Arabidopsis thaliana: one gene and its partner. The protein of the gene in region 2 interacts with the protein of the main gene of each other region in a pairwise test. Each region holds a gene or a part of one and is shown on either strand. Other genes may lie near its edges. The genes, in order: ISPF and AT2G36580.

What was found.
Region 1: the proteins of AT2G36580 (region 2) and ISPF interact in a two-hybrid assay, tested with the Arabidopsis thaliana proteins (one large-scale study listed by BioGRID).

What each region holds. Positions count from the first base shown.
Region 1 is NC_003070.9:23,734,138-23,749,299, forward strand, and holds ISPF (isoprenoid F), read right to left. Parts: upstream 6,248-15,162; 5' UTR 6,200-6,247; coding exon 5,869-6,199; intron 5,780-5,868; coding exon 5,649-5,779; coding exon of another isoform or gene 5,625-5,648; exon of another isoform or gene 5,611-5,624; intron 5,020-5,610; coding exon 4,786-5,019; 3' UTR 4,536-4,785; downstream 1-4,535. Other genes in the region: AT1G63950 (Heavy metal transport/detoxification superfamily protein), read left to right, coding at 747-752, 860-935, 1,151-1,419; AT1G63960 (Copper transport protein family), read left to right, coding at 3,170-3,281, 4,047-4,369; AT1G63980 (D111/G-patch domain-containing protein), read left to right, coding at 6,509-6,586, 6,675-6,759, 7,057-7,133, 7,228-7,264, 7,355-7,515, 7,720-7,816, 7,904-8,064, 8,140-8,430 and 2 more; SPO11-2 (sporulation 11-2), read right to left, coding at 9,186-9,320, 9,450-9,577, 9,648-9,724, 9,800-9,862, 9,943-10,037, 10,115-10,243, 10,322-10,410, 10,486-10,623 and 3 more; WRKY56 (WRKY DNA-binding protein 56), read left to right, coding at 13,297-13,697, 14,560-14,746. UniProt on the Arabidopsis thaliana protein: Enzyme of the plastid non-mevalonate pathway for isoprenoid biosynthesis that converts 4-diphosphocytidyl-2C-methyl-D-erythritol 2-phosphate into 2C-methyl-D-erythritol 2,4-cyclodiphosphate and CMP. Is essential for chloroplast development.
Region 2 is NC_003071.7:15,330,122-15,347,591, reverse strand, and holds AT2G36580 (Pyruvate kinase family protein), read right to left. Parts: upstream 8,471-17,470; 5' UTR 8,340-8,470; coding exon 8,271-8,339; intron 8,091-8,270; coding exon 7,994-8,090; intron 7,911-7,993; coding exon 7,813-7,910; intron 7,719-7,812; coding exon 7,563-7,718; intron 7,465-7,562; coding exon 7,387-7,464; intron 7,277-7,386; coding exon 7,145-7,276; intron 7,028-7,144; coding exon 6,947-7,027; intron 6,819-6,946; coding exon 6,747-6,818; intron 6,644-6,746; coding exon 6,554-6,643; intron 6,411-6,553; coding exon 6,266-6,410; intron 6,143-6,265; coding exon 6,054-6,142; intron 5,936-6,053; coding exon 5,840-5,935; intron 5,744-5,839; coding exon 5,676-5,743; intron 5,588-5,675; coding exon 5,488-5,587; intron 5,161-5,487; coding exon 5,101-5,160; intron 4,964-5,100; coding exon 4,811-4,963; 3' UTR 4,506-4,810; downstream 1-4,505. Other genes in the region: ProT3 (proline transporter 3), read left to right, coding at 2,425-2,506, 2,796-3,020, 3,096-3,190, 3,277-3,466, 3,562-3,686, 3,814-4,029, 4,093-4,470; AT2G36570 (Leucine-rich repeat protein kinase family protein), read right to left, coding at 9,867-10,552, 10,677-12,009; AT2G36560 (AT hook motif DNA-binding family protein), read left to right, coding at 15,145-15,424, 15,762-15,829, 16,796-16,927, 17,077-17,244, 17,323-17,470.

The DNA of each region.
Region 1 (15,162 bases), on a different chromosome or scaffold from region 2:
ATCGTGATTCTGCAGAACCTTGTGGTTGGTAAATATCTATGATAGCCAAGGTTCATCATTGATAGGGGAAATCATTCGGCCAAGATGTCAAAACTGTTATAAACTCTTCTCTAACTCGATCTATATTTTAATATGACATCATTCTTGGATTAACACAAGAGACCATTGTTTTGCAAAAACAACACCCTCGGTTTTTAATGGGTGAAATATTGCAAAATGCAAACAAACGTGTAATGTTGGTAAAACTAAAAAAAACAATTGATGCCAAATCCAATAACAGAAAAAGGCATTGAATGACTCTTTCACTAATAACAAATTTGAAATTGGTATATGACTAATAAAAAAAAAGTTAGAAACAATTAGTAATTATCGACCGTCAGTGCATCATCAGCATTTCACCACTTTGACTAAGAACCAAAGTAAGACCAACAAAAGTAAAGTGAAAGATGAAAAACCAGACGCACTTGTCGCGAGTGAACTCCACGTTCGTTTTTCTCCACTGAAGAAAACAATTTTTATGTTTGTGTATGGCGCGTGTGGTATATCGTATCAGAGCTTTCCTTTTTTAGAACTATCGCTTGTTTATTTTCCTTTCCAAATCAATTCATGTTTTTGCATACAAAAATAAAATAAAATCAATTCATGTTGCTTTCATTTTTTGGTATATAAAGCATAGACTTGTTAGCATTTTGGAATAATCGACATTTTCATTTTCTTCTTCCATCTTCTGCTCTGTTCTCTTAAAAATGAAGGTAATTTTTTAATGGTTTTCAAACCAAAAAAAAAAAACAATCTTTTAATTTATACACAGTTCGAGTGTTTTTAATTTATAGTTTGTATTCTCATGCAATTTCTGCAGAAAATGATTGTGTGGATGGGTGTTTATGATCAGAGATCCAAAGGGAAAATCACGAAGAGTATTTCTGACTTACCCGGTAAATCATATCCTATTAAAACTTATTTTCGTAAGAGTTTTAGAAAAGATAAACAAACATTTGATCTTTGTTATATTAAAAAAAGTTTGATTTATTTTATCAAAAAAACAAACATTTAATCTTTTACGCTCTGTTTTTTACTTTACATAAGAAAAGCTCAGTTTTACAGAGTTTCCCAAACTTCAGAGCCCATATCTTTAATATTTTGTTTTCAGGAATTCACTCATCTTATATGGATTTGAAAGAAGGCACACTAGTAGTAATGGGAGATGTTGATCCTGTGGAGTTGGTTAGAAACCTCAGAAAGAAATGGGGAAAAGCTAAATTAACATTATATGTACCTTATGATGCTTTGAAAGAAGCAAAAATTGCTGAGGCTAAGCAGAAGAGGGAAGAGATTGAACGTGAAGCTCTTTACAGATACAACCGTGAAATTCGTGATATTTTCAATGATAAGGAGGAGCAAGGTTGTGTCATTTGCTAGAGTTCTAAAGAAAAATGAATAAAAAGACATAAGGTACTTTAACTATTTCGATTTGTTTGATTTATAGTTCATATTAATTAATGTATAAAGACATTTTATGAGTAAGGATGAATTGTAGAGTTTGATCGTGGATGCTTTTATTTGACCTTTATTTTAGGCTTTTTAGCTGTGTTCGCTTGAGTAATTGGAGTATTTGTTTTTCTTGAGTCAAGTAACTAATTTATTATTATAAAAGCAATTACAAAAAGACAGCTAAATATGTTTGAATTTGTGAGATAATGAGAAAAAGAAAGGAAATATTGTGGTGAAATCGAATTATAAAGCAAAATAGTATCAATTCTAAATTTAAGCCAAAAAGAAAAATTAGGACAGTAGAAGATTTGGAACTAAGAACTTAATGATTTGTTTGGTAAGCCACATAACTCAGAAATGTTCCACAAGAATTTGCGCGTGGGATCCACTCGTTATAGATGAGAGTCCTTTCTAATCTTAAAACAATATTAATGATGACAAATTTTAACTACCATGTGAAGTTTTGCTAATAGGTTAAACTCAAAGACCAAAAATTATGAAAACACAGTTTCTTTGATGTGACGGATAACATATTCAAGGGATTAATACTAAACAAGCGAACTTCAGAAATTACAAATTATCCTTTACAAATGATTTTATAAGTGGTTTGATTTTCTAGAAAACACACATACTTTTGTTAATTTAGAGACTTTCACATGGTTTCTTGAAGCATAAGTCGACATTAAAAAAAGAACTAACAGAGGACCATTAAGATAGAGTTTTCATGAACAATTTAAGAGATATCTTCCACATGGTTTTTTGTTTTCTTTTGGTAAAATCGACATGGTTTTCTTGTGATCGCGAGTGAAATAACTTGCATAAAGTGTGCGTGGAAATTACTCAATGCTTACTCAAATGCTTTCATTTCGGTCTTAACGCACATAAAAAAAAAAACGGAATATTGTGGTGCAAATGAATTATAAAGCAAAATAATATCAATAAACATATGCCAAAAAGAAAAATTAGGACAATATAACATTTGGAGCTAAGAAATAAATGACGTGTCTGGCTAGCCACATAACACAAATTGAAATATGATTTTCGGGGATTTTTCATGATCTATTTCTCGTTGTTTATTGGAGAAGAAGTACAAAATGCAAACAAAATATGGATGTTGGCGGTTGGTACTAAAAACAATTGATCATGATGAACAAAACCATATGATGAACATGAACTTACCATAAAAAGGGACCTTGGAAGAATCTTTGACAATATAAAAACTTTTGAAATGGAAATTACTGGATATAGTAACGATCAATAATCGACGGACACTCATCATGGGACCATTAAAGAGAAGAAATTTCCAAAGAACCACAGGAGAAAATAACAAGTACAGTTGAAAACATCCATAAGCCATTTCTCACAAGTGAAATCCACACTCTTGTTTTTTACTGAAGAAAACATTTTTCTAAAAAAAATTTAAATCACAAAACACTATGATATTCCAACATTATGTTTTTTTTCTTCTCTGAATCCATTTAATGTGGCGGTTTGTTATTTGGGACATAAAGCATCATCGACTTGCTTACACGAATAAAAAAAGCACACCAACTTTTTACTGTGGACCACATCTTCTTCTCTGTTCTACAAAGAAAATGAAGGTAATGTGTCATTTGGTTTTCAAAGTACTGAAAAATGAGTCTTTTGAATTTTTATAGACTTTGGAGTATTTTGATTAATGGTTGTTCTTCTTCTAATCACACTTTCTCTACAGAAAATGGTGGTGATGATAAATGTTTGCGACGAGAGGTCTAAGGAGAAAGTCATCCAAACAGTAGCTAGCTGTTCAGGTGAACATGCACCAATTTTTTTCTTCTTTTTATTGCTCATGTGATTTTATTGAAAAGCCAAAGCTTTTCATTACACAAACTCTCTGGTTTTGAGATTCGTTGTAGGTTCTGTCGTTTTGAATTGAAACCCTACAAAAATGATTGCTGTTAAGACTATCTCCAACGATGGATCTAATTCTTCTGTTCTTTTAGTGAAAAGCCAAAAGCTTTTGCTTTTAACATTCACTCTGCTTTTTGGATCATTTAAGGGTTTGAATTAAAAACCTCAAAACTTGAAATTGATTTATGTAGTAATATTCATGAGTTTTTAATGAAAAAGCAAAGCTTTTCGTTACTCACATTCCCCTGTTCTTGAGATTTTTGATGAGTTTTGATTTGAAACCCTCAAAACTTTTTTTTGTTCTGTTCATGCGTTTTAAATTGAAAAGGCAAAGATTTTTCGATTACACACACAGACTCTATTTATGTGATTCTTCATGGGTTATGATATGATCCCTTAAATAATGATTTTGATTTTTCTTGTCTCGTTCATGATTATTTAGTGAAAAACCAAATCTTTTAATCACTCATTATTGAGTTTGAGTGTGAGTTTAAGTTTAAGTTTCTTCTTGTTAATGAGCTTTTGCTGCAAAGCTTTGAATAATAATAATACGTTCTGTTTTTGGTTTTCTTTATGGATTATGAATTGAAATCTCAAAAGAACCTACCACCTTGAAAAGATCTTCCTTAGTCTCAAGACCTAAATCTTAACACTTTTTATTCCAGGAATTACAACTATTACCATGGATTCAAAAGAAGGGAAGTTAACGGTGATTGGTGAGTTTGACGAAATGCAGATTCTCAAAAAACTCAAAAAGAGATGGGAGAGTGCGAAAATGGCTACATTTGGCCCGTTCGATCCGAAGAAGGAAGCGGAAACCGCTGCAGCTGCGGAAAAGAAGAAGAAAGAAGAAAATGAACGTGAACGTGAACGTGAACGTGAAGAAGCTCTTTACCGGTCTCAGTCTCACCATGACACTCCGGTTTGTCCAATGCATCATCACACTACTATTGTGTGCGATCATGATCACGGCTGTATAATCTCTTAAGATTTGCAGTATGTTAAGTCTCTGATTAGTCAGAAGTTGATTTTATATTGACGGGTAAGGATTATTCTCTGATCATTGATGTATTTATTTCAGTATGATATTATTATTCTCTGATTTTGATTTAAGAATTCATGTAGACAAGGAAAGCAACAACTATATGACAGACAAATAAAAAATTGTGTCACAAGGAACTTGCAGTCCAAGACACAGTTTCCAATTATATTCAAATCTGACCAAGGAACTAGGAATCACAATGAATCATCAACAAAATATGATTCGATTTTCTCTGCTTCTACGAAACGATTCGATTAATTAACCTTTAAAGGATGATTACACTTTACAATCAAAAGTATGTTTTTCTTAAAAGATGAGACACTTTAAGGAATATGATAAAGAGCTAAAATCAATTTTGACTTCTATTTCTTCATGAGGAGAATAACAGTGTGAGCTGCTATGCTTCTGTTTTCTCCGAGGCTATCAACTTTCTCATGTGTTTTGGCTTTCAAGTTCACTACAGAAGGATCTGCTCCAAGAAGCTTGGACAGATTGGATCGGATTGTCTCTTTGTGTGGACTAATTTTTGGTCTCTGGAGAATCAACGTCGCGTCTAGGTTTCCTATCTCATACCCTGCCTCGTCCATGAGTCTCACCTGAAACACAAAGTCAAATAAACCTCGTCTCAAGTTTATTGAATCATTCTTCATACCGACGAGAATCTAACATTTCTTCTGTTATATCTATATAACATCATTACAAGTGATTCAGATTAGCTTCCACGCAATCAACATTCACAGTCAATCATGGTGAACTTAACAAACACATTACGCCAAATGTGAACCCATAACTTAAAAGACAGGACAAGAAAGAAACTTTATAGCTTCAACCTTGAGTACCTCTACTTATCATCAATCATATGTGTTGAAATCTAACAATACAAAGATGCAGGAACCTAAAATTCAACAGAAAATTGAGTTATGCCAAGGCTTTTCAAGACAAAAATCATGTATACAAGAGTGATAAGCTTATAGATAGCATCGTTGAGTGATGACAACAGTTCAGGGATAAGATCTGATTTCCATATTTCTTCGACTTCCTATAGATGAAAATAATTTACTCAAGAGTATTATTAAGCTGAGTAAATCCCATCAACTTATGGATCTAGCTTGAATTCTGAACCATTCTATAAAGTACCACACACAAAATAAGGCTTAAAGAAGAAGTAGCTAATACTGGAACATACACACAAAATTGAACATCAAGGTAAGCGTCGAAATCTTACAGCTTCTTTGATGAATACAGAAGAAGCAGCTCCTTTCCATTTAGGATCAGAGTCAGGGAAAATCTGACCTATATCTGGAAGGCCTAGTGCTCCCAAAATTGCATCCACTACACAATGAAGTAACACATCGCCTACACAAATTCCAACATCAAACTCAAATCAAAACCCTAAAATCTACAAGAAGACGAATTAACCAAATCGAATTTCAAGAAATGTTTACCATCGGAGTGAGCTTCGCAGCCTCTATCATGAGGAATAACAATCCCACCGATGATCAGAGGATACCCTGGCTCTAAACGATGTAGATCGAAACCATGACCGATTCGAAACGGAAGCGTTTTGGTTGGTTTCTCTGAAGTCACAGATTCATTGACGTCGACGGCGGAAGAAGCAGCTGAAACCGAGGCTGAAGGACGACATGATAACGAGAGAGACTTCTTCGGTCTCCAAACGCCGATCTTCGTCGCCGGGAGAAGGAATGGCTTTTTGGTAATTTGAGAGTGAAACAAAGAAGAAGAAGACAGTAGAAGCTGAGTAGAAGAAGTAGCCATTGCCGTTCTTCTTCGATTTTCTGGTTTACTCAATTCATAATTCTGTGGTGGAAATATTCATTTCTTTATTGGGCCTTTCCTTCCTAAAGCCCATTTAAAATATGATAAACTCTCGACCGTCGATCATGTTACATATCCACTGAAGTTTACTAAAGACCACGTGTAGAGGAGTTTTACTCATCACTTCTTCGCTTTAGGTTTTCTGTTCCAGTTTCTCTAAACTTCCTCGCCCACTCTTCTCTTCCGCACCGCTTTTGAAAAACGGCGACGCATTGTCTCCATTCAATCGCCGGAAAATTAGAAGAGAAGATGGCGGCGCCGGAAGCTCCGGTTAAGTACGTCGGAATATGTAAGGATTCCGCCGCTTTCAAGCTTATGAAATCGATGGTGAGTGAATTTTCCTGTAATGATGTTAATGTGTGTAGAGATTTTATAAAGGAGAAGACCTAATTTTTTGGATTGGTGATTTTTTTAGGGTTGGGAAGAAGGAGAAGGACTTGGTAAAGATAAGCAAGGTATCAAAGGTTATGTGAGAGTTACGAACAAACAAGATACATCTGGTTAGTTTCTTCTTCTTCTTCTCCTTAATGGAAACTAGTGATTTGAATTTTTCTCGGTGGAATTTAGATTGGAGGAAACTTTAATAGAGCTACTTTTCACTTACACTAAAAAACAACAACATTATTTTCGGTTTTTAGGAGGAAATGTCTGTTTACATAGTTTAGTTTATGTAATTTGGTGAATGTGAAGTTGTGGAATCAAGATAGAGCTACTTTAAGCCTTTTGTATATTTGTGTGGTGTATATGCATCTATCGTTTATGTTATAGGTCTGAATTTTTTTAAAATGTTGGAGCAGGTGTTGGTCTTGATAAGCCAAATCCATGGGCATTTGATACAACTCAGTTCGATAACATTCTCAAGAAATTGAAAGTGGTAATGGCTGTGTTCATCTTTCGTTTTAACTATGCTCTTTGAAATATTTGAAATAATTTCAATCTTTTTGTGTATGTGTGTGTGTTATTTGCAGCAAGCTGCTCCTACCAAGACTAGCAAGAATGATGATGGTATAAGTTTTTCTTATTAAGTTGAGTTCTTTCTTGACTTAGAGAAGCTTATTTATCCTAATGATTGTTGTTTTATGTGGCATACGATAGATTCAGATAAGGAAGATGAAAGTGAAGATGATGCTGTCAAATCTGAGCCTGCCAAGTTGAAGACCGTTGCTAAAGTCACTCGTCCACAAGGAAGGTATAAACGTAGAGAGAAAGGGAAGCTTGTCAATTCATACTCGTCTAAAGATCTTGAAGGAATACTGGTAAGCTTCCTTTCAAAACAGTTCTGTCCTGTCTTTTATCCGCTCATGATCAAGATTCATGTTGATTAGAATGGATCATAACTTCTACATGTACTGTGAACTTGTGCATGTTGTTAGAATTTTCTCTGCTATCACCATTATGTAAACAAATCTCATTATGAAAGTGATAGTCCGACTTAGGCACGTTATTTTACTGTTTTGTAGGTTAAGCGAACTGAGGATCCTTCTCCTGCAGTTTGTGACATAGCCGATTCTATGGATATTGAAATTATATCTGAGGACCAAGATGCTAGTATTAAAGGTGATTAGTTTGTCCTTGCATCTTGAAATTGTGACTTTCTGCTCTTTTTTTTGAACTGAAAATGTATGGATCTTTTGGACTGAACAGAACAGAAAATTGAAGAACCTTCTTCGAACTGGTGGGGATTTAAATCCGGGTTTGTCTCGGGTGGTCTTCTGGGGGCCAAGTCGGGCAAAAAGAAATTAAAAGCTAGCGAGAGAAAAATGTTTAGTGAGAATGATCAAGAGAATCTTTACAACATGGTTCAGGTATGTTCTTTGCAGGCTGTTCTTGGAAAAGAGGTTGGGATCTAATAATATATTGACGTTTTGGAATGTCTGTAGGATAAAGCCACAGCGGGAAAACAAGGACTGGGTATCAAAGACCGGCCAAAGAAAATAGCTGGTGTTCGTTACGAAGGGAAGAAAACCTCTTTTGATAACAGTGATGATGATGATGATGATGATGATGATGATGACGAAGAAGACGAAGAGGAAGATGAAGACGAGAGTGAAGCAGATGATGATGACAAGGACTCTGTAATTGAAAGTTCTCTTCCCGCGAAAAGGAAGCACGATGAAATCATTGAACCCAAAATCAAGTTAAAGAACCTGTGCAAGCAGATTGTTAAAAAGGTTCGTTGTCAATTTATTTTGAACTGTCATTGTATTCTTCTAAAACATCCCACCACTCATATCGACTTATATGTATATGTGCAAAAACATTCTTAGGATGCTGGTAAAGGTGGATTCATGAAGCTGAAACAGCTAAAATCTCTGATCGATGAACAAGCACCATCAGTTCTTTCAGAGTTTTCTTCAAGAAAAGATGCTATTGCTTACTTGAAACTTAAGGTAATGCAATCTTAGCTAATCTTTATGCCAAATCTTCGTATAGAATCTACATTAAGCGTATGAAATTCATTATATTTGAGATTAAAGAAGTGTGATAGTGAAGTTAGTAAACATAATCATTTTAAAGTGGGATTCTCATATTCTACACAAAGTTCCAAAGTTTGTCATTCTTACTGATATTGTTCTAACGTCCTTGTTGCAGCTGGAGCGAAGTGGCAAGTTTGTTGTGGAGGGAAAGAAGATTAGTCTTGTATCAAGCAAGAAGTGAGCGAGAATTTTTGGTTGGAATTATCATTATACCTGCATAGGAAAGTGGAGATTAGGACAAGTTTTGTTACTAAATCATCACAATGCCATATGTAAACAAAGATCATACTTCAGTTTGGAAAATTTTGATTTGATTGTAATCTATTTTTACATTCTATTAGAGTTTGCATAAAACTTCACCCTAATAAGTTACTCTCTTATATTTGGAACCAATATAAAGCAAACGCATCTTTATTGGTGGAAGACCTTACATGTTGGTGTTTTAAGTGTTATATGTATTTGCCTTGCACGATCTTGGTAGCTATATATTTACCGAGATAATTATAACCATGACAATAGAGAGCTTCAATTTCCGCTCTTTTACCAGTTTGAACCATCAGTGACAACTCCTCTATGTAGTTTTCCTGGTCAGAAGCAAATGTCAAAATCAATTAGGGTATAAATGATAGATTATAGATTCGAATCTTAGAATTGCTTCGGCTTGACCATTACATCTGATCTCTGCTTATAATGTATAATGTATAGTTGGTTACCTGCAATATTTTGGAGGACAATAAGCTCTTAGCAATCTGTGAATCTTTTGGCTTTAAGGGAACCAAAGACTCTTCTGGTATCAGATTCAGATCATCTCCTCGGAGACCAATCCACTTCACATTGCAAGCTAAAGAGGATGCAGAAATTATCATTGTAGAGACTTGGAGATTATTTGGTGCAAACAGCTAAGTCTTTACCGTATCTGTATGCTTCAAGTCCCATCCCTATGCTTCCAAACTTGAAGGTGCATAGTATAGCTAACCCAGCTGGATTCCTGACCTCTCATTTATGAACATATGAGCACTAAAGTTTTATGTTAACAAAGAGGAAGATGTTTATTTATGCTTACCAATCAACTAGAACAAGAATTGGCAGATCAGGAAAAGTTGTGCTCATCCGGTGGAGGAAAAACCTAAAAGATTTAACTTCCAAGCTACTTAATACCACTGACTACATTGCAATATGGTTTTGTAACTGAGTTGAAGAATTGACCTTGTGGCAATATCCGGATACCCTTTCGCTGTGATGAACACGCAAGGAATGTGATTGAACACACGATCTTCCACGAGCCGATGAAAGATCGCATGCTAAAAACAGATTCTAGGAGTGAGTTACAGACAATTACGACATCTCTCATATGTGCTTGATTACATCAAGAAGCTACCTTTTCCACAATAATGATATAACGAGCATCAGTTCTCATGATGGTATTGTCTAGCAAATTCAAGTCTCCAGTTATAGCAAAACCTGAAGAACCACAGGCCGAACAATCTACAGCTTCCTTACCTGGTTCCTGAGTGTAAAGTAAAGAAATGGTCAGAGATCACAATGTTAGCTACATAAGGATTGCTAGAAGCAAGTAATAACTCACTTGTAGAAATAACCTTCCAGCAACAAGGCCTCTGCTTGAAGCCATAATACCAAGACTGTATCTACTACAACGTAGAAGTGCTACCACATCTGCTAAACCAAAGCACGACCAAAAAATCAGCTCAAAAACTCTTTAATCCAAATGCAATTAAGCTTTAGATTGACCTTGGACACTTCTGTTAACTTCAATCTGAGATGAAAAGTAATCAGGTGAATCACAAAGCAACTTATAGAAGAGCTCTCTTTGTGTGACTCGTTTCTCTTGAAGCAGAATCTGAAAGCATATTTCCATAACTTTCCACACTGTTTCAATAAAATCACAACCATTTTCTCATACCATTCTAATCAAAGATTTGGGTGAAGATCACAGAGAGAGACATTGAGCAATTACCACGAACAAAAGCTTTAGCTGTTTTAGCATTCGTCAATGAACTCTTAGTAAACGAAGTAGAGAGGAATATATATGAAACATCTGTGAGTATCCCTTTGTTTATACAACTATTGCTTCTCTTCCTATTGATCTGTTCAAACGATACATTTCAATTGTCTTCAAAAACCCAGAAAATCACGAATTCGAGAAAGCTATAACGCGATCTAAGAAACGGACTTAAGCACGAGATTAAGTAGTACCAGAGAGAGATCGGAGATAGCTGGATCTGGGGAGTTCAAAATTCGGAGGAGATTGAGAACAGAAACTTCGATTCTAGCACGAGCCTGTAACAACGAGCTTCGATTTCAGTCAGAACTACGAGATTCGACAGTGAAGAAGACTAGTGATTCGATAAATTCAAAATTGGAAGCGAAACTTACTTCGTGAGGAAGAAGAATGTCAGCGTAAGAGAGGTGTTGATCGGAGAAGAACTTCATCGATGATAGTCCTGAACTTTCCTCCATTTTGAGATTTTTTTTCCGATTCCGCTTTTTTGAAATTTTGATTTGAATTTGATTGAGAGAGACAGAGAGGCGCGCGTCAAGTTTCGGGATTTGAGATTTGCACTGTCTTCCGTTTTGTTTATAAGAAACCGGCATGCAGTTCATGATTTTTTTTCTCATGTGGAACTAATTGTGTCATATATTTTATTTTATTTTTTAATTTTATATATAAGCCAAAAATTTAGCCTAACTACAAGCCAAAATTGTAATTGTTTTGCGGTTGTATAGTTTTAAGCTATCAATAACTATATTTCAATGTGGTAATCAATTGATTTTTGTAGATATTTAATTTACACAATAAGTTGAATCGGAAAGTTCAATTTTATATACTCTCTTTGTTTTTTATAAGTGATGTTCTAAGCTTTTATTTTTGTTTTTAAATATATGATATTTTAAAATTTTAATGCAAAATTTATTATATTTTCATTGGTTTTGATGATTTTTATTCCACAGATAATTTTTCTATTGGTTTATTAAATAATAAATGATATTTTAGTTTAAAGTAAACAAAAATTAAATAATTTATTAAGTGTGTATTCTCTTAAAACATCAACTAAATAAAAATTATAAAAGAAAAAATATATTTTAAGAAAATGGATCCACTAACATTTGATTTACATTTGTACATAATTTTATGGTTTATGAGAATGAGAAGCTTCCACGTGCATGCATGAGTTTGCATAGGTTAATTACATTTGGATGTATAATTATTCGAGCGGTCAAAGAGATTCTTAACAACCACAACCACAATAATTTGCTTAAGTCCATTTATCCGTATTTAATGCCCAACATTTTACGCGACTTCATGATTTCTATAAGTTTCATTATCGGTAGTATAACTTAGTAGGGGATGTATGGTTGGACGAACGAAATTTCAAAATGAAACTTTGCGAAAACGAAATGAAGGGGGATGCGAAATTCATAAAAATATCCCACTTTAATCATATAAATGTCTCATACTTAGAGTTAAAAGATCAATGATATGTTCAAATTAACCACTATATATAGTCCATATTACGTGGTGGAAATATCATTGGACAATGGAACAAATACGCAGAATTCTTATGGTATCGAGAAAAAAAAATCTTATCGTATTAATTCGTTATATAAATTATTTTTTTTTATATTTTTTTTTGACAAAATGTGAATATTATTAATCCATTATTGTGCATATAAATATCTATAAACAACGACAAGGATGATATAAATTTAGTGATCTAAAACAATCTCTAAATTTTAGCTAGTTCTCAAACCGACCAGACGTGCATTTCAGGCTCACGAGTGTGTGTATGGAGTTGGTACACTATATTTAACCACACGTTTGAAATGCAAATAAAAGCAAATTAATTACTACTTGTTACATGTAAATTTATAAGCAAGTTAAGCCTTTACCGAACATTCCCTTTGTCATGGGAAAACATCAACAAGAACTTTGACCATAAATATAACTAGATTTTGATCGGTTTATATGAAACATGTGAGTAGTTTTTCCACATGAAGTTAAAACAATCGTTACAATTTACATATTCTAAAAACATCAATACATATTACGAATTGGTGCCGAAATATATAAATTTAAATAAGCTAATCAATTTATTCTACAAACTATTCTCAAAATGTATAAGACCACTCAATATATATACCATCGATGTCAATTTTTGTTTTTTTAAAGATTAATATTTACTATTTAGATTTCAAAATATGGGTTGAAGTACATTTGACATGTACATGCATTTTTGGATATATATTAATATATGATTCTATATAATATATAGATCCAAAAACGTTGTAAAGAGATATATAGCTAGGAAAAGGAGGAAAGACTTAGGCAGTTGAACAGAAAAGTTAGGTGAATATAGTTGGCTTCAATATTATACCCTTTAACTCATTCTTCTTCTTTCTTTCCTACAAATATCCTTATAACCTTTCTTCTCCTCTTCTCCTTCTTCCTCTTATGCAAACATATATTTACATAAACACACACATATATATAGTAAGAGAGAGAGAGAGAGATCTAGCAAGATAGTGAAAGCTTCATAATCAATGGAAGGGGTTGACAACACAAATCCTATGTTAACCCTAGAAGAAGGCGAAAACAACAATCCTTTTTCTTCCTTAGATGACAAAACATTAATGATGATGGCTCCTTCGTTAATCTTTTCGGGCGATGTAGGTCCATCTTCTTCTTCTTGTACTCCAGCAGGTTATCATCTATCTGCTCAGCTGGAGAACTTTCGAGGAGGTGGAGGAGAGATGGGAGGATTAGTGAGTAATAATAGCAATAATAGTGATCATAATAAGAATTGCAACAAAGGAAAAGGGAAGAGAACTTTGGCAATGCAGAGGATAGCTTTTCATACAAGGAGTGATGATGATGTTCTTGATGATGGTTATCGTTGGCGAAAGTACGGTCAGAAATCTGTCAAGAACAATGCTCATCCCAGGTTCTTTTAATTTTATTTTATTGCGTCCCATACATTTACTAGTGTGTTTAAAAATATATATGACAACGTTAAAGTAGATATCGAAATTGACCTAAGCATATCTATAACATACACACACATCCTTGGTCACGTGTATATTTTGGAAACATTAGTTTAACAACCTAAACGACCAAAGTCATCAATTTAGGTTATTAGTCCGGTTGCATTACATTATTGCTTGTTTCTTGGAATTGGGGGTGTTCATTTTGTGGTTTATCCAAACCAATCCCTGACTTATATAATCCAAAATATAATTGGTATATATAACCAAAAATATTGTGTTTTTAAGTAACATTGATGTACCCCCAAATTTTGATCAATATATCACATTTACAACCTAAAAAGAACAATTTGGGCCTTTTATTTCGTTGTTGCTAGGAAACGATAACAGATGAAATCTTGCTCGCTTGACTGTTGTTGCTATGACAACATATTTTGGTTTGGTTTTAGTCGAATAAATCATATATCGATGAATCCATAGGTGATAATGAAACGAATATGGTTTGGTTGTTGCTGTTCGTCCAGCCCATATGTATATATAGTTTACATTGGATGATGTTTTCGTAGAACCAAACTAATAAACCCAAATTTTACTTAAAAAATTAGTTGTAAATTTTCAAAATGCATGTACTTACTTAATCAATACCTTAAATTACAATCTCTATTATCTGAAATTATTACCAATTATACCTCGTGAAGTCGTGATTAATATGAACTTTGTTCCATAAGATCTATACCAAAAAACTTAACATCGATAACACACATACATCACCTATATGGATTAATTTACTATTCACATTTTTATACAAAATAATATTTGCAGGAGCTATTATAGATGTACATACCACACATGCAACGTGAAGAAACAAGTGCAAAGACTGGCAAAAGATCCAAACGTTGTCGTAACAACCTACGAAGGTGTTCATAATCATCCTTGTGAGAAGCTCATGGAGACTCTTAGCCCTCTCCTTAGGCAACTTCAGTTCCTCTCAAGAGTTTCTGATCTGTAATTATTGAATGTTAATTAGTGGTGTAATACATTAATTATGCTTTAATCTCTCCATTGACCCTCAATCTCCAAAGAGACAAATGTATAGAATAAATCTCATAACATACATGCTTTAGGTTTATTGAGACATTGATCTATGTTTGCTTTAATTTGATTCGTCTAATTGTCCCTCTCTCGTGGATTATTTGTTTTTTTTTTAGGTGAACGATCACATTTAAACCAAGTGTAGTTAGCTCTGGTAAAAAGGTTTTAAGCAAAGGTTAGAAGTTGTTGGTTTGAATGATGCTTGGAACAAAACTAATAATAAATGTTGTGATTTCGGGTTTGAGTGGATTACGAGATTTGACCCCGAACCTTCTTCTATTTAAAAAAGAACAAAAAACACGATCACATTTAGGCATTTACTGGACCAGTTTT
Region 2 (17,470 bases):
CTACTTATTATCTGCTAGTTCTAAGCTAAATCAAGAAGCATCTCTGTTAGAAGCTGAAGGTATAAAGCCTGTTAAAATCTATTGAATTCAACACTTTGGGATCGAGATACGTAACTATTATTGTCACAATCCAATGAATAGAGAGAGTGTAGAAGTGATAAATTGAGTGAGTAAATACTAAATAGTACTACGAAGAAAGCTATATTATGATAATCTAAAAACGAGGACCATATAGTATAAAGTTACAGAGAAATAAAGCTCAAGAGAGCAGCGTGTTGTGTCATTTACTGAATGTTTTCGTATAAAGAAGAAGCTCACTAGAATTGTTTCCTTCTTTATAGGTCAAAATTCCATGTTAGTTAAACACCAAAACCAACGGTTAATGTTTTCAGTATATTACGTACTTGCTAAACAGAGAGCATGGTGAAATCTAGTATAAGAATTCTTTTTACAGACAAATTTGACAATAACATCTTTCTGACATGTACTTTGGCACTGCCAAATGCCAACAAGTGGAAGGCAGAAGTCACAGAACCTGACTTTCCATTTGCCATTATTACCTTTTTGGTAATTTAAGTCGAAACTGTCACGTGTCTCCCCGTCGTGAAAACGAAATCAACATTCAATACGAAAATAGACATTGGAATAACAACTTAAACTACGTTTTAACAATTACCCTAACATTAAAATGGTCCCTTTTAAAGAATGGTCCTTACGTTTGAACAAGACCCTTTTCTTTCAAGTTACAATTGTCAAAGCCTATCTATTTTCATTTTTTTTAAGTAATCACAATTTGTACCCACTTTACATGTTCATATTGAATCGACTGGTGATATGAAATGGTACAAGTTTTTAACTATAGTATGAGATACAAGCAAAAAATGGACTTTGAACCGGAATAATTGTGGTGTGATACTTTTTTTTGTTAACACAAGGAACATATGGAAACTTTCAATCCTTATTTGATCTGCCAGAGAGAGAATTGTTCTAAAAGATTCACAAAACTGAGAGCCAAAGATCAACAGTTTACGAAAAACAGGTCAAATAACATGATCACAAACCAAGTATTGCAATGCTCTTGATCATCTACTTCTGTGTTAACACTTTGATATCTACTTGCTAATTCTACTTAAGTTCAATGAGTTTCGGAAATATTGTACCTTCATTCTTCTGTTTCAATCCAATTCCAGTATCTGTGATCTTCGATTCCAGTTATCGCCATTCCTCTTGCCGAAATCGCCATACAAAACCGTCCTGTCGATCTATCAGCAATGGAAACAATAACTAACATTCGAAGTATAATTGGGCCGACCACTGTCAACAATGGGCCGATTTATAGATGGACAAAAATAGAATTGGCACGCCCGGTGGGACTCGAACCCACAATCGTTTGATTAGAAGTCAAACGCCTTATCCATTAGGCCACGGGCGCTTTTGTACTATCACCTACTTACATTTATATATATACTAAAACGATAAATCTCTTTGAAAAAGATTAACATACAATTACTAGAAATAACAGAGGCAAATCATGTGTATAACGGGGACATAACCTTAAAGAATAGATTTGGACAAAGTTTTGATTTAATTTCTTACAAGATCAAAATTGTTGCAACTCTTCATTAGATCTCTAAAGCTAGCTTTCAATTTCAATTTCAGTGTTATGTATACTCTAAAAAAGAAAAAGTGTTATTTCAGTTTTAGCGGATGTTGATATATCGTATTGTGATGTCACATTTGAAAAGAATGGTTTTAAGTATTCAACCAAAAAATTGGTCTAACATAAATGTGTTGATAGAGGTCCCGGCCGGCCACTTTTTAAATAAATCAAACAATAAAAAGTCAAAACTCTAAGAGAATTTAGTACACTATAAACTTTTGGCCTATTTATTATCTTTCGTGTCACGTTACATATTTTCGTATCTAGTCTTATTCAGCCTAACAACAAGACGGCAGAAATGTCCAAAAAATCTTTAAGGATCAAGCTGCGTACACTCATTTCCCAACAACACTTCAACGGTCTAAAGAAACATTTAAGTGTCTTTCCAAATTCACAGCCACATACATTTCAGAGTTGATGTTTTTTTTGTTTTGGATTGTTTTGTGATAAGTCTAACACTATCATTTGTACAATTTGTTCATATATTATCCCAATTTTGCAGTAAATGATTGTGTCTAGATCTGAACCACTCAATTCCAAAGAAATTTCTTCATTCACCACATTTTAATTGTGCTTGCTTCGTAATTCGTATATAATGAAAGAAACTGTTCAACAACTTCTGATTTCTAAAATCTTTTAAAAATCTCTCCGCCACTTCTAGTTGGACTTGATTTCTCACCATAGTCTGTCCCGTTGTTACCGACCATCTATTATATAGGGAAAGTCTCTTAGCTACAGAGACACAATAACCATTTGGAGAGGTCATGAACTCTAAGAATCGCATAAACAATGTCGGGGAAGGTGTTGATATCGAAATCCCTGACACTGCTCATCAGATTAGCAGCGGTTTGTCATTCGTTTTCTCCCTCTTTTTGTTTTGTTATATTAATTTTACTGCTTAAGATTTCTCAATTTATCTATTTAATTAACGTTGGATTAGTGCTCAATTTCAGTTTCTTTATTACTATTTTTTCTTTAAACTATGAAAATCATTTACAAGAAAGAAAGAAATGTGACCTAAGAATTCCATTTGCTTCTTCTTTATGCATGTTTGCAATATTAAGCGGAACTGTTTAGAAGCTGATATGATCGCATATTGGGGAAAGCTAATTAGTAAGTTTTGTGGAATATACAGATTCATGGTTTCAGGCAGCGTTCGTTCTGACAACAAGTATAAACAGCGCATACGTGTTGGGATATTCAGGAACAGTCATGGTTCCTTTAGGATGGATTGGTGGTGTGGTTGGTCTTATTCTTGCTACTGCAATCTCACTCTATGCAAACACTCTCGTAGCCAAGCTTCATGAGTTTGGTGGCAAAAGACACATTCGCTATAGAGACCTTGCGGGATTCATTTACGGTAAACCAGCTCTCTTTGCTTTATCTTTCTCTATCTTCTCTGTTACTTTCACTGAAATATTTATCTCTTTTTCAGGTAGAAAGGCTTATTGTCTTACATGGGTGTTGCAATATGTCAATCTTTTCATGATTAATTGTGGTTTCATCATACTAGCTGGTTCCGCCTTAAAGGTACGTAGTAAACATTTTTCTCTCTTGATTCTTGATTCCGTGAGCCAGAAGTCAGTTATGTTTGGGGTGTGTTCTGTTTTCTGCAGGCTGTTTATGTGCTTTTTAGGGATGATCATGCCATGAAGTTACCTCATTTTATAGCTATTGCGGGTCTGATTTGTGCGGTTTTTGCTATTGGAATTCCTCATTTGTCGGCTCTTGGGATATGGCTTGCGGTTTCGACTATCCTCAGCCTCATCTATATCGTTGTGGCAATCGTGCTATCGGTTAAAGATGGTATAACTTATGTAATGATCAGGCGTTAGCCATTACTTATGGATTTTATAGCTTCTGACAATTCAGATACTTCCCTTATATTTTTGCTTTTGTAGGAGTTAAAGCACCTTCAAGAGATTACGAGATACAAGGATCACCACTAAGCAAACTTTTTACCATCACTGGAGCAGCCGCTACACTAGTTTTCGTATTCAACACAGGGATGCTTCCAGAAATTCAGGTGATTTCTTTTTTTTCGAGATTTTTAGCTTCATGTTTTAGGCTTCAAAGGTTTAGTGTGTGTATTTTACTACACTGCTTGACAATCCTTCTAATCTACACTGCTTTTTCCGTCATGATATTGATAGGCAACAGTAAAGCAACCAGTAGTAAAAAACATGATGAAGGCTCTATACTTTCAATTCACGGTGGGTGTTTTACCGATGTTTGCGGTTGTATTCATCGGGTATTGGGCTTACGGATCCTCGACCTCGCCCTATCTACTAAACAACGTTAATGGTCCACTTTGGGTTAAAGCCCTTGCTAACATCTCCGCTATCCTTCAATCCGTTATCTCGTTGCACGTAAGTTTCTCTTCGAGAAAAGAATTATGTGTTAGTCAATCCGTTCTTACTCAATTTTTGTAGATTTTTGCAAGTCCAACATATGAGTACATGGACACCAAGTTTGGGATCAAAGGAAACCCATTGGCATTAAAGAACTTGTTGTTTAGGATCATGGCAAGAGGCGGGTACATAGCAGTTAGTACGCTTCTCTCAGCACTCTTGCCGTTCCTTGGGGACTTCATGAGCCTCACTGGTGCAGTGAGCACATTCCCCCTTACATTCATTCTAGCCAACCACATGTACTATAAGGCTAAGAACAATAAGCTCAATACTTTGCAAAAGCTATGCCATTGGCTCAACGTTGTCTTCTTCAGTTTGATGTCTGTTGCTGCCGCCATTGCAGCTCTTAGGCTCATCGCCCTTGACTCCAAAAACTTCCACGTTTTTGCAGATTTGTAATTCATAATATATACTCATCGTATTTATTCTTAGTTGGATTTCTTATCAATAAAATTAATTTTCAATAAAACAATGTATATAGAACTATGGTTACTAGGGGATGGAGATATTATGCATAAAGTGGAAAGTGGTTTATATCATAACTTGGAAACATCAATCTCCTAAATACGAAAACAAAAGCCCAGGAGATATATTTTCACTCCGGTATCTAGCATATAGCCGGCGAGAAACAATGATTGCAAGGATTTTTCTTGGACGGCACCAAGAGTTTTAGTGAAGGAAATAAAATTGATTAGTAACAGAACAAAAAAGACCGAGACAACGACTCACTCTGCTTCTTCTAATCCTCTAGCTCGATGATTTTGACCACGGACGCATCTCCCACTTTCTGACAGACCACAACTCTGTCATGTGACTTGATCACTCCGGCTTGCTTCCCATGGTCTAGAGCCACTTTAAGAACCGACTCATTTGTTGCACTTGTTGATTCCGCCTGAACAAGAGGATTCACAATACATTAGAGAAAATACGGTTTCAAACCCCACTAAAGTTACAATTGCAACTATAGCACTAAATTTGCAAGCAAGAATCTTTTTGCAATGAATCAAATTCTATGCAATAGAGACTTACAGGGTGACGAGGATCAGCAAGCATGGGGAAAAGACCTCTGACAATAAGTGACTGCCTTGCCTGAGACAACAATAGGCACAAACACGATGTTAAGTTTGAGCAATAATCAAAAGAAAGTCCATATATGCAATTCAGATATGACAAAAGCTTTTCTAGTCATACATAGAAATCTATAAGAGGTGACATTATTCCAAAGGGTAACTTTCTTTTTTATCTTCAATTATAAAGCACATTTAAGAGTTGTTATTCCTTTGCATCATGGGGACAATTGCCAAATAGTATATGCAGTCATAAGCAAGTAACAACCATAATCATTGAATCTTGACAAGTGGCATTAGAAAATCCCAATTCTTTTTCAAAATTCACACAATCAGGATGAAAGTTTACCTCAAAGGCTCCGCTAAAGCTCCACTTCAGCTGATTTGTCGTAAGTCGGGGAATGACAACAGAGAGAACGGGCATAGTTGGACGGTATTTGGCAATCAACCTTTCACGATATGGATAAAACATTTATTAGACAGCTACATTAGAATTTAAATGTACGAACAGTTTAAGTTGGAAGGAATGGTGTGAACCTTGCTGCTCTGCCAGACGAGGTGAAGCATATAATTACGGATGCCTTAACCTTGATTGCTGCCCGTACCTGATATCAAGCAGAATTTAAGCCATTAAGTTAGAAAACTTGAAAGGCAACTTGTCAGCTTTTAAGTTACATAGGTAACACAAAAGAGAGGCTCACAGCAGAAGAAGCAATAGATTCCAAGTGAGTCATTGGTTCTCCAACATACTTGACAGTCTTCTTAAAGAACAAATCTTGGTTGAAAACTTTCTCTGCCTATAAACAAGTAATCAATGCATAAGAGAAATCAGATGACAAACCATGGCTAAGATGATTGAGATACTAAGAAGGTGATGGAAATAATAATACTTTAGAACAGTACGATAAAGCCTACCTCACAACAGATTCTACCAACAGTTGATATGGTTTCAACAGGGTACAATCCACGAAGAGTCTCAGCACCAAGAAGAATTGCATCACTTCCTGCAGGAAGCGAAAGGAAAGAAACCCTCTTAAAGTTATGACCAAAACTATGATCCACAAATATGTATTCCCTCCTATAAATTATAAGCAGTACAAAATACATATTTCAGAAACTAAGTATACCATCTAAAACAGCATTAGCAACATCAGTTGCCTCTGCACGAGTTGGCCGCAGATTGTCTGTCATACTGTCTACAACACGAGTAAGAACGGCAGGCTTTCCAGCCATGTTACACTTGTAAAGAGCAGCCTTTTGGAACAAAAACACCTACAAGTTTTTCGGTCAACTTAGTACTTCGTTCCAGAAAATCACTAATCGTCTAATAAGACACACAGTCACACACCAATCTACATAGAAAGTGCGTAGGGGTTTGGACCCAAACGTATTGATTTGACTGACCAACATCATACCTTTTCCGGAGGTAGATCGATACCCAAATTCCCACGAGAAAGAATAATGCCATCTGCTTCTTGTAGAATTTCGTCAAAGTGGGTTAGTCCCTAAAATCAAATACACATCGGTAAATATAAACAGCAGTACAGCACCATCACAGAAAAGTTGCAGAGGAAACATGTAAAGGCAAAATAAATGCATTTCACTTACCTCTTCATTCTCAATCTTCGCAAATATTTGTGTTTGAGAGAGGTCACCACAACTGTTAAGCAACTCACGGGCCTGTGTTGTGGCACAAAAATGATAATTCAAGCGTATCAGAAGCTCAGAATTAGTAGTGAGTAAAGAACCCAAACGAAGTAGCCATACTTCTAAGGTGGAAAAAATATATTATGAAAAAGAATATGGACCTGGCGAACATCTTCTGCATGTCGACAATAAGATAATGAGAGAAAGTCGATCTTATTCTGAACTCCCCATGTACTTATAACCTAGAAGAGAACCAAAACAGAACAAAATAGTTAAAGCACTCGAACAGATAAGCTAGAATATTACTAGAGACAGAGCAAAGCAGTCACTGAGATATGTAAATTATAAGCAACACTTACCTCCTTATCCTTCTCAGTTAGGGTTGGCATATCAATGTGAACTTGAGAGACGTGCAATGTGAATAACGGACCACCCAGAGTAGCAGCATTCCTTGAAATACAAATGACATCATCTCCTTTAACTTCTTCAACCTGAAGGTTTGTTTAAATGGTTAGTCTTCTCACAAAAAAAACATCTAAAGTCTAAATTTGAATTCCAGAGAACAGTGTAGAGTGGTTCCATAAGCAAAATTCTTTTATACCTCAAGCCAAACTGAAGTTGTTTCACTACCAGTGAAGAGGTATTGTCCAACAAAGATAGTGTCTCCTTTCTTAACCGCCTGAATACATCAAACAATAACATCCATCAAACCCTATAGACACGAAGCAATAATCATCTTCTCCCAAAAAATAAACGGTAAGGGTTATATATAGAAACCTTCGCTAACCCATCAAAATTAATGGGAAGGACTTCAGAGGAGGCTTCTTGATCTTGACTCGGAGTCAAAGTTACAAGGCCATCAGCTTTAAGAGAAATAGCTTTCTCAGTCTTGTTAATAACTTGCAACTCAGGTCCTACAGTGTCTAGCATAACCTGGAAAAGCCATAAACCACAATCTTAATTCATGGTATTAAGCATTACCAAATAAGATCCAGCAGAGCAAAACCAAAGAAAAGAGAAAACATACAGCACAAAGCTTCTTAGTGCTCTTCACAGCTATCTTCAGATTCTCCAGCGTCTCCTGGTGATAATCAGCATCGCACCAAGAGAAATCGAATCGAGCCACTGCAAAAAGAACGACACATCAGTAACCAGTAAAGAGAACCCCAGGCGAATCACGTATCAAATAGTGAAGTAATCGCAATTACCGGACATTCCAGCTTTGAGACAACCAGCAATCACCTCGACGGATCGAGATTTCGGACCTAGAGTCCCAACAATCTTAGTCAAAGCCGGGAAGAAACTCTGCGAAATAACATCAAGCGGATCAAAAACCACGACAAACGAAACAAATCTCTCACTGCTTCAAAATGGATGAAATATCGCAACAGATCCAAACGTAATCGATAATCAACAACGAGCTAAGGAAATCAAAACAACCACAGAAAACACACAGAGCGAGAGAAGGAGAAATAAATAGCTCACTGATTTAGAAGGTTCGAGGATTGAAGTCATCCTGATCGGTTCCTCGAGAAGGAGATGACTTGAATGCATAGTTGCTGATCAGAATTCGGAGATCTCAGGCTTTATTCGACGGTGACGGGAGAAAGACGGAGAAGAATTTTGGAGTGGAGAAGAGGCGGAGAAAAGTTCGCGTGATTGGGTATTTGATACGCTTGACCGGCGAATATGCCTCCAAATACGACGCAGTTTAAATAGCACACAATAAAATGAAAATGTTGAAAAACAAGCCTCAACTTTTGTTTCGCTCTATTTACCCCCCAGATGTCCAATACCTAATGCAAACTATCCCCCGTTGGTTTATAATACGCTGATCTTTTAAAGTTTTTTTTGTCGGTTTAAATGATTTTGTTAATTTTTAGAATAGTTCACTAATAAATGTATAAAATGAATTCAAAGAAAATTAACAGAAATCAAAGAAGATTAAAATTAATGTATCCATGTAAAAGTCAATACAAGAGCGAAAAATACCATAAATTTAGTAACATATTATAATAAACCATTTATTATTTTCAAAAATGTACATCTTAATCTATGGATTTAATTTGATTTTGGATGGATACTGAATGAAGTATCATTAAAACAACAGGGATTAAAGTATCAAAAAACTAAAAGTAGAAGGACTGGATATAAATTAAGTAATTTTAATGAACATCTAGAAAGGGATCTACAAATGTCAATGAGCACAACGACGGTCCCAGATCGTACACGTGGCAGAAAAGGGTGTGATTAAGGCACATGAAAAGCGACGTTGCTGGTTTAGACTTTTAGTACTCCCCAAGTTTAATTTCGTGGGGGAAGGGGTCAAATTGGCCTCACGCGCCGAGGAATAGTGAATGAATGATTTTTCAACAAGTTTTATTTCAGTTACGCACTATTCGATACCATTAAACTTGCTCTTGTTGACCTCAACCCAAAAAAAAAACTTGCCATCATGGCTTAATGAAATTATGAAAGCGTAATTTCACTTTTAAGTTCAACATTTCAAGTCTTCAACTATCAGAAACCCATAACATAAAATATTACTATCAATTAAAAAAATTGTTAGACAAGATTCCGCTTCCAGAAATGAAAAAGGAATCCATTTATTTGTCATGATTTGGCTAATCATGTGCTTGACCATTCGTTAATTTACTTAATCTGCCAATCATAATCAATGGGCTTAAAAGGTACACGAAAGGTCAAATCCGAAGGGCTGACTCTTCAACCAAAAAGACAATTACCAGTGGACACAGAAGCATCCACCGTTCTAGAAGCACTAATCAATGGGCGTTCGAGTTTTAGGTTCTATAATTAAATAGCAGCAATTGCAAAATAATTCATCTAAAACATATGGGCCTAATGGGCTTTAAAGAGTAACAAATGGGGTTTTATTATTGAAACGGCTTCATAAATCCACAAAACCACACAACCCCGTTACGATCACAAACAGTGAAAACACAAAACATGGCTAAAAAAACTCCGACAAGTTCGCAAATCAGGGATTCTAAGCAAGAACCTTAAAAATCGACAAGGTCCAAACGATACGTATTCTACAACATCGACAGACAGAAACCAAACTTAGCCGTCGGTGGTAGCCAACGACGGAGACATTGAGTTTCGTGACTCATCAAAATCCTCACCGACCGGAGATTGCTCAACTCTAATCTCCTCAACCATCTTAACAACTTCCGCCATCGTCGGCCTCTTCTCCGGCTGAGGCACAACGCAAGCTAAACCGATATGAAGCATTGCCACCATCTCCTCCTCTATGTTCTTATACCTCAAAAGCTCCGGATCAAAAACCTCTGCCGTCCATTCCTCCTTCACCACCGATCTAACCCACTTCGGTAAATCAACCACCGCTTCTTCCTCTTCCTCCACAGCCACCGACGCCGCTGATCTAGGTCTAGACGGAGACGGGAATATCGAGGGTGCTTTTCCTGTTAAAACCTCGAGAAGCAACACACCAAAACTGTACACGTCAGCTTTCTGAGAGAGACGTTTGATCTCCGACTGTTCCGGCGCACGGTATCCTCCTAACCGAGCGATAGCGTGAACCGGGTTTAGCAAAAGTGATAAACCGAAATCAGCTATTAGCGCGACGCCGTTTCTGTCCAATAGAACATTAGAGGATTTGATATTGCCGTGTGGTATCTTTGAGATGCTATACTCGTCGTGAATCTTCGCTAATCCTCTCGCTGCTCCTAACATTAGACTAATCCTCGTCGTCCAATCCAATGGAATCCGTCCTGGTCCTCGATTCCCTAAAACCACCAATAAAAAAATCATAACTTTGGCCGATAATGTAGTAAAAATCAACACTTTTGTCACTAAGCAAAACAGAGCATTTTCAGTTTGATAATCAAAGCTTAGAGAAGAGAGTTTTACCATGAAGAAGAGAGTGCAAGCTTCCATTAGGAAGATACTCATAAACCAAGAGCTTCTCTTCTTTAGCATAGTAATAAGCTCTTAGCTTAACAACGTTTTGGTGTTTAAGCCTACCAATAATCTCCATATACTGCTCAAACTCTTTCCTCGGACATGGATTCGCGTCTTTAAGCCGCTTCACCGCCACAGTCGTTGAGCCGTCGTCTAACACCGCCTTGTACACCGTCCCTAAACTCCCTTTCCCAAGCATCTCCGCAGATGCTTTCAACAAATCATCAAGCTCAAACTGTTTCCTCCTCTCGAAAAACACAAGTCTGCTCCTATCTGTCGCCGACGTCGCATCACTCTCTCCTCCTTCTCCGTAACTGCTTCGTCTCTTCCCTTCTCCTCCTCCGACGAAACCAGTCTCTACACTTCCGGATTTTGATCTTTCGCCGTTACGGTCTAATCTTCCACAACAGAAAGCAAAACCAAAAGATACTAAAACAATAACCGCCACGCAACCACCGATAACCGCAGCGATTATTCCCGGTTTAATCCCTCTATGACTGTGAATTTCCGGTTCTCTAACGCTAACCGGAGAATGCGGAATCGAAGTAGGATTCGACGGAACAATCTGATCAGTGTTAGAAGATTCCGGGTCGTTTGTGATAGTACAAACCGGTAAAGGATCCGACCCGCATAATCCTTCGTTACCGGAAAAGCTCAAGTCTCCAAATTTCTTCACCACGCCGTCGGAGACGTTTCCGTGCAACTCATTGAAGGAAACATTCAATTCAAGAAGTGACTTCATCTGAGAAAAATCCGGGATCCGACCCGTTAACTCATTGTTCTGGATCCGGATCGTTAAAACCCGGGTAAACCCGAGAATCTCTCTTGGTATAACTCCACGGATATTGTTATCAGAGAGATCAAGACGTATCATCCGTTTAAGAAAGGATATCTCTTTAGGAATCTCACCGGAGAGATCGTTACCGGCGAGATAAACGAGTCTGAGGTTTTTACAGTTTGTGAGTGGTGAAACGGTGCCGTTGAGTCTGTTATCGTGGAGGTCAAGAAGACGAAGTTGGTCTAAGGAGGAGAGAGAGGTTAATGGTCCTCGTAAGGAGAGGGAAGGGAGAGATAGTTCAGTGACGCGGTGTGAAGATGGTGAGCAAGAAACGCCTTGCCATGAGGAGGTACAAGCGTCGGAGCCGGTCCAGTTTCCGGCGAGGTTGCCGTGTGTGTCGGTTTGGAGACGGAAGAGTGTGAGAGCATTTGTGTCGTTTTGAGCTAAGGTGATTGAGAGATGAAGAAGGAGGAGAAGAGGAAGAAGAAGAGGTTTAGCAGCCATGGCGGAGAGGCGGGAAAGAGAAGAGTGAAGTGTGAAGAGAGAAATGTATCTTTCTTTTTATTGAAATTTGAGAAAAACGAATCTTTCAATTTTATCTTTTTTCTCTTTTCTTTAATCTGTTTTCTTATGTTTTTGAATGCAGTGTCATAGTCAAGAAAAAAAGAGACAAAACAAAAACTGAACAAAGTAAAAACAAAAGTTACGTACATAGCACTGATTAGGAACAGAACTCATGAAGAATAATGTACGTTCTATGTTAAAATTGCATATATAACATAAGGATTGAACTGAGTAATGACATAAGGTTATCGAGTAATATCAACTGAAATTTCCATTAATCAGTTAATAATATACTTTGATAGATGTAAAAAAGGAGATAATGGTAAATCATATTTCTGAACATAACCCTACGCACAAAAAGTAGGAATGGTGGTGGTTGTGTGAATGATTGCTGTTTTCCACTCCATAGTGTGGGTGAACATAACCCTACGCCCAAAAAGTTTACCCAATGTTTGAAAAAGGTATCCACAGTATATCATTGCTTTAACTTGTGTCTTTTTGTTACAAGATTAGTTAAAGTTACTTGTGCAAATTGCTTTTCTGTTTAGATATTGAGTAAATCAAAATTTATAACAGGTTAGCTTTCCTTTTGGTTTTTACACTAAGAATGAATCAAAGCAAATCCAAATAAGATAGATTTTTCGATCTCGTATTCCCGAAATCTCCAAACAACATAATTAGTTCTTTTGAACCCCAAAAGAAGGGTAGTTATTACGTTAACTATTGGACTCGTATTTGTCATTTCCACTAATATACACATTTGATAAACCAACATTCTCGGGTAATGAAAATATGTTTAAGCTCTTCAAGTAAGAAGTATTTTATTTCTGCTATTAATATATCAAATAATTCAAATTAACACTAGTGTGCCGACAAAAAAATAACAAATAACATGGTGGATCCATGATTGGTACGACGCGACAGTTGATGATTTGCTTGAAAAACAAAGTCAGCTTTCTTGTAGCTAATCTCACTCTTATTTTTTACCAACCCGACATTTTCGAGACCCCTTTAACCAATTTAAAATGTAAATTATAAAAGGAGGAAAGAAATGCGCAATTGGCGTTGTGATTCCCATCCCCTTTTTCCATTCAAATGCTAATCAGAAAATTTACCAAAGTTTTTTTATCTTTTGAATAAAATTTACTAAAGTTTTTACACCTTCATACTACCAAAGTTTAAACAAAAAATTTACAGTTTTAGGTTGTTTTTGTATTCTACTTAAAACAACTATCTTAAGAATGTTTGATTTACTAAGTAATATACATACAAGTAACAACTACGACTATAACCATTACAAATTTTTGACTAGAGTGTCAGCTTTGTATACTTGTTGAATATTTTGTTAAACATTGGAGAAGGAACGACTCATGTAGTGATGTTGTATTCTGCTACGATGTGGCCATGCATTTGCATTTCACGTAGATTACGTTTGATCTAATTCTCTGCTACGAAGAACTTGAATCAACCTGAAACTTTAAACAGGGAGATAACAACATATTGAATTGATAATGTTCGTTGCTTCTCTTTGAAAGAAAGAAAAAAAAAAAAAAAAAACACAGTTCCCTTTGGGTCGCTCTTTTAGTCTTTCCGAATGTGTCGGCTTGATGTGTGTGTGCGCGCTTGGTTTTATTATGTTGGCCCAAGCATTGACGGTAAACGTTATGCTATACAGTTGGGCCTTAGGCCTTGGGCTTAAAGTGGTCGAAATTATAATGTTATCAACACAAAAAAAAAGAATCTGAGTTTGGAAAAAGATGCCATTTACGTTACAACACATCATCGGTTTGACTGAAGAAAAATACAAAAATAAAAAAAAATTACCGGACTTGATGATTTGCAATTGTTGTAGATTTTGTTTTAGCAAATACTACTTTTTTTTCCGTTGATGTTTTCCAAATATACATAATTTTCTTTCTTTCTGAACATCAAAAACAAATTCCGTGAACTTATTTTAAATTGGTCAAAATCTATATTTCTTTCCATTTGTACTTTAATTATATAATATCTAGAAGTGGAAAAAACTATAAAGGTTTGACTCGTGTTCTTTGCTTCCCGCTGGCGTTTTCCATTTAAGAAATTTGTTTTTTAGTGGTATAACTGGCCAAGCCAATTCAAATTCCCAACTTTTACTTTTAAAATATATAATTATCGTATACTAAAACAAATCTGTCTTAGCATTGTATGTTAGTCAAAATAAAATACTTTCTATGTAACACTTAATTACTGTTTCCATTAAAAACAAAAAAATAACATTTTTAAAAGACAGCTACATTGAAATGATTTAATTCGGCCAAATTCAAATCATGACTTTTTTGTTCTTTTTTGCATTTTAATCTAAATTATTTGATATTTGAAACTTAATATCCATTGAATATAAATTATATTAATATAAGGTCTAATTGTTTATATTATTATATAATATAATATTCATTTGTATATAAGTAAGTTTGTTCATTTTAGAAGTCTGTTACAAATCACTAAAAAAATATGAAAATGTTGAAATTACTAGTCTTTCCAACACATCTAAAATAGAATTATAAGTTTTAAACGTTATAAAAACCATTTACAACGGTCACTAGCTAGCATTACAAAATAACGGTATTTAAACCGTTAACAATGGTTAATAACTAGAATCATAAAGTTTTAAGCGAAAATCTAAACTAAGTTCTTTTTAATATGAAATTAATTATATATAAAAAAAGTTTTCTTTCTTATTATCCATATCTATAGATAACATCTACAGAAAAGAAAAACTAAATTTTACATAGATAGACAAAATATCGATTTTGTTTACCTTCTTATATTATCTCTGTATGTACAGACAACATATACATACACAGTGAAACTTCAAAATTTAATTTATATATTTTCTATTAATTGGGACAGCCACATATTAATTAGGAAACGGTAAAAAGAAAAGAAAAGTTTTCCAAACAATCCTTAATTCCCCTAATTATTCCGTGACCAGTAAAAAGACTTCATAAAATCACAAACTCTACCTCTACTTCTCTCGTATTGCCTCTCATTTCCAGTCTCTATCTGGATCAAAACGAGAGCATCATTTCCTTGTCAATGTCGAACTCAACGCCCTGCATCACTCCCTTTCCGGTCACCAAGACTGCCGTAGCGGCACCAGCCACTGTGGTGGAGGGTGTCAACGACGCGAACTCAACGCCCATCTCTCCCTTTCCGGTCACCAAGACTGCCGAAGCGGCACCAGCCACGGTGGTGGAGGGTGTCAACGACGCGAGCAGGAAGAGAGAAAGGCCGAAGACGTATCGTGATTATAAAGGGAGGTTTATCACAGCATCTGGGACATTTACGCCGAGGTCATCGTTGAGGAAGAGGAGAGGTAAAGCTTTGGTCTCTTACAATAAAACTAATAATATGTAATACGATAATATAACTATTTGAGTTTCGTTATTGGCGATGGGACAAAACTAAATCTGCTATGTCTTAAGAAAGAATAACCATTAGAAAATATGAATCTAGGGTTCATCAATCAGTGGAAAGTATTTGGAAAACTACATTCTCTTGTCTTGTGTTAGGGCATAGGGAAATTAATCTAAGGAAAAGACATAACATGACAATTTAGTTTTTTTTTACTTAAACATGTAAGAATTATATTTGTTATTAAACAAACTACGAGAATTCAGATGGGTTTGAGTGTATTTTTAATTTGATTGAAGGTGACATGTCTATGAGGCTTGGAGGAGGGGACTTCACGCCGCATAGCTTCACAGTTAATAAAGGAGAGGTAAATATATAACATATGCATACTTTCTATTTCATTTGTTGTTGTAGAAAAAAAAAAACTTTTTGTTTTTAAAAATTATGATTTTAGATTTTTAATATCATCCTTTAGTCAAAGTATAATAACATTTCTCTTCAATTCACCACAACGGAATTCGAATATTTATATAAATTTTTAATCCACGCAAAAAATGTATAATGAAACTCTTTAAGAACAGATTTTGTTCAGTTCAACTCGATCGAGTTCTTGATGAGTTGGAGTTATGGTTTTAGATTCTTTTTATACATGGATTAGGTAAGCAAATGTATTCAAGTTAGTAAATTAGACGGATCAACTCTAATGAGTCATGAATAGATTCGTGAATAAAGTTTGATTTCTATATATCGGTAATATTTTTGTTTTTATTTGGTTTTACAACATACAATAACGGTAATATTTTTATTCATTTGTTGTTTTCGTGGGATTTAGATCATCTAAAACTTTCAAATGGAAGAGAGTTGACTTCCATTATACAATAGTTGCATTTGACAACTATTTATTTAGGTTTATTTTTGTTTGAATATTTTGGCTCTTAAAGGTAGGGTTTCTTCTGGATATATTTGTTTAGACTTTAGAAGTTTACTTTTCTGGATTATTTTTGTTATTACATATGTTTACAATGTTGAATGATATGGATTCAAATCTATAAATATAAGCTCATAATAAATGAGCTGAACTTAACTAAACCATGAAGTATTAATATTCTAATTCATTATACGTTGACTGGAATTGAGTGAACTAACTCACTTTAACACTCCTACTAATTTTATAAACATGGAAGGAATAGATAAGATTAGTTCTAGTGACCTAAAAGAGAGATGAAACAATGGACTTAAGGCAACAGCTTTGTTTATCTGGTCTTTGTATATGCATATATGTGTTGAAGATGAGAGGTTTTTATTTGTCTTTTATATATGGTGTTTTTTACAGGATATAATCAAGAGGATCATGTCCTTCACTGCAAATGGTTCTCGTGGGATCAGTGTTTTGTCAGTAAATGGTGCGGTTGCTAACGTTACGATTCTACCTCACGGTTCAAGCCGCAGGGTCATGACGTTTAAGGTATATATTTATATGATAAACTTGGTCTTGCAGTGCAATCTTATAACCTAATGGTTCATGTATTGGAAGGATGCATTATAAAGTTGGTCTATAAATAGAATTAATAAGTTGTCTTACATGGATAAGAAAATGATAACAACTTGGTGTAGGAGGAGTATGAGATAGTATCGCTGACCAATAATACAATGGCGATATCTGAGAGCGGAGGAGTGAAAAATAAGACCGGAGGGTGGCGGATTACGATTGGTGGAGCTGCTGGTGGACGTGTCCATGGTGGTGCTTTGGCTGGGAGTCTCATTGCAGCAAGTCCAGTCCAAGTAAGAACACAAAGCATCTTCTTTGTTTATGCATATGGTTCAATGTTTGAAGCTATATCTTATAATTCCTTTTTATAGGTTGTGATTGGAAGTTTCTGGCCGTTGATCACAAATTCGCGTCAGAAGAGGAAGTATGTGTCCAAAGCTATGGTTGCTCCATCCATAACACCAAACTTGGTGGCTTCCTCATCCACAAGACCGGTCCAACAACCAGAGATGGTTGGCC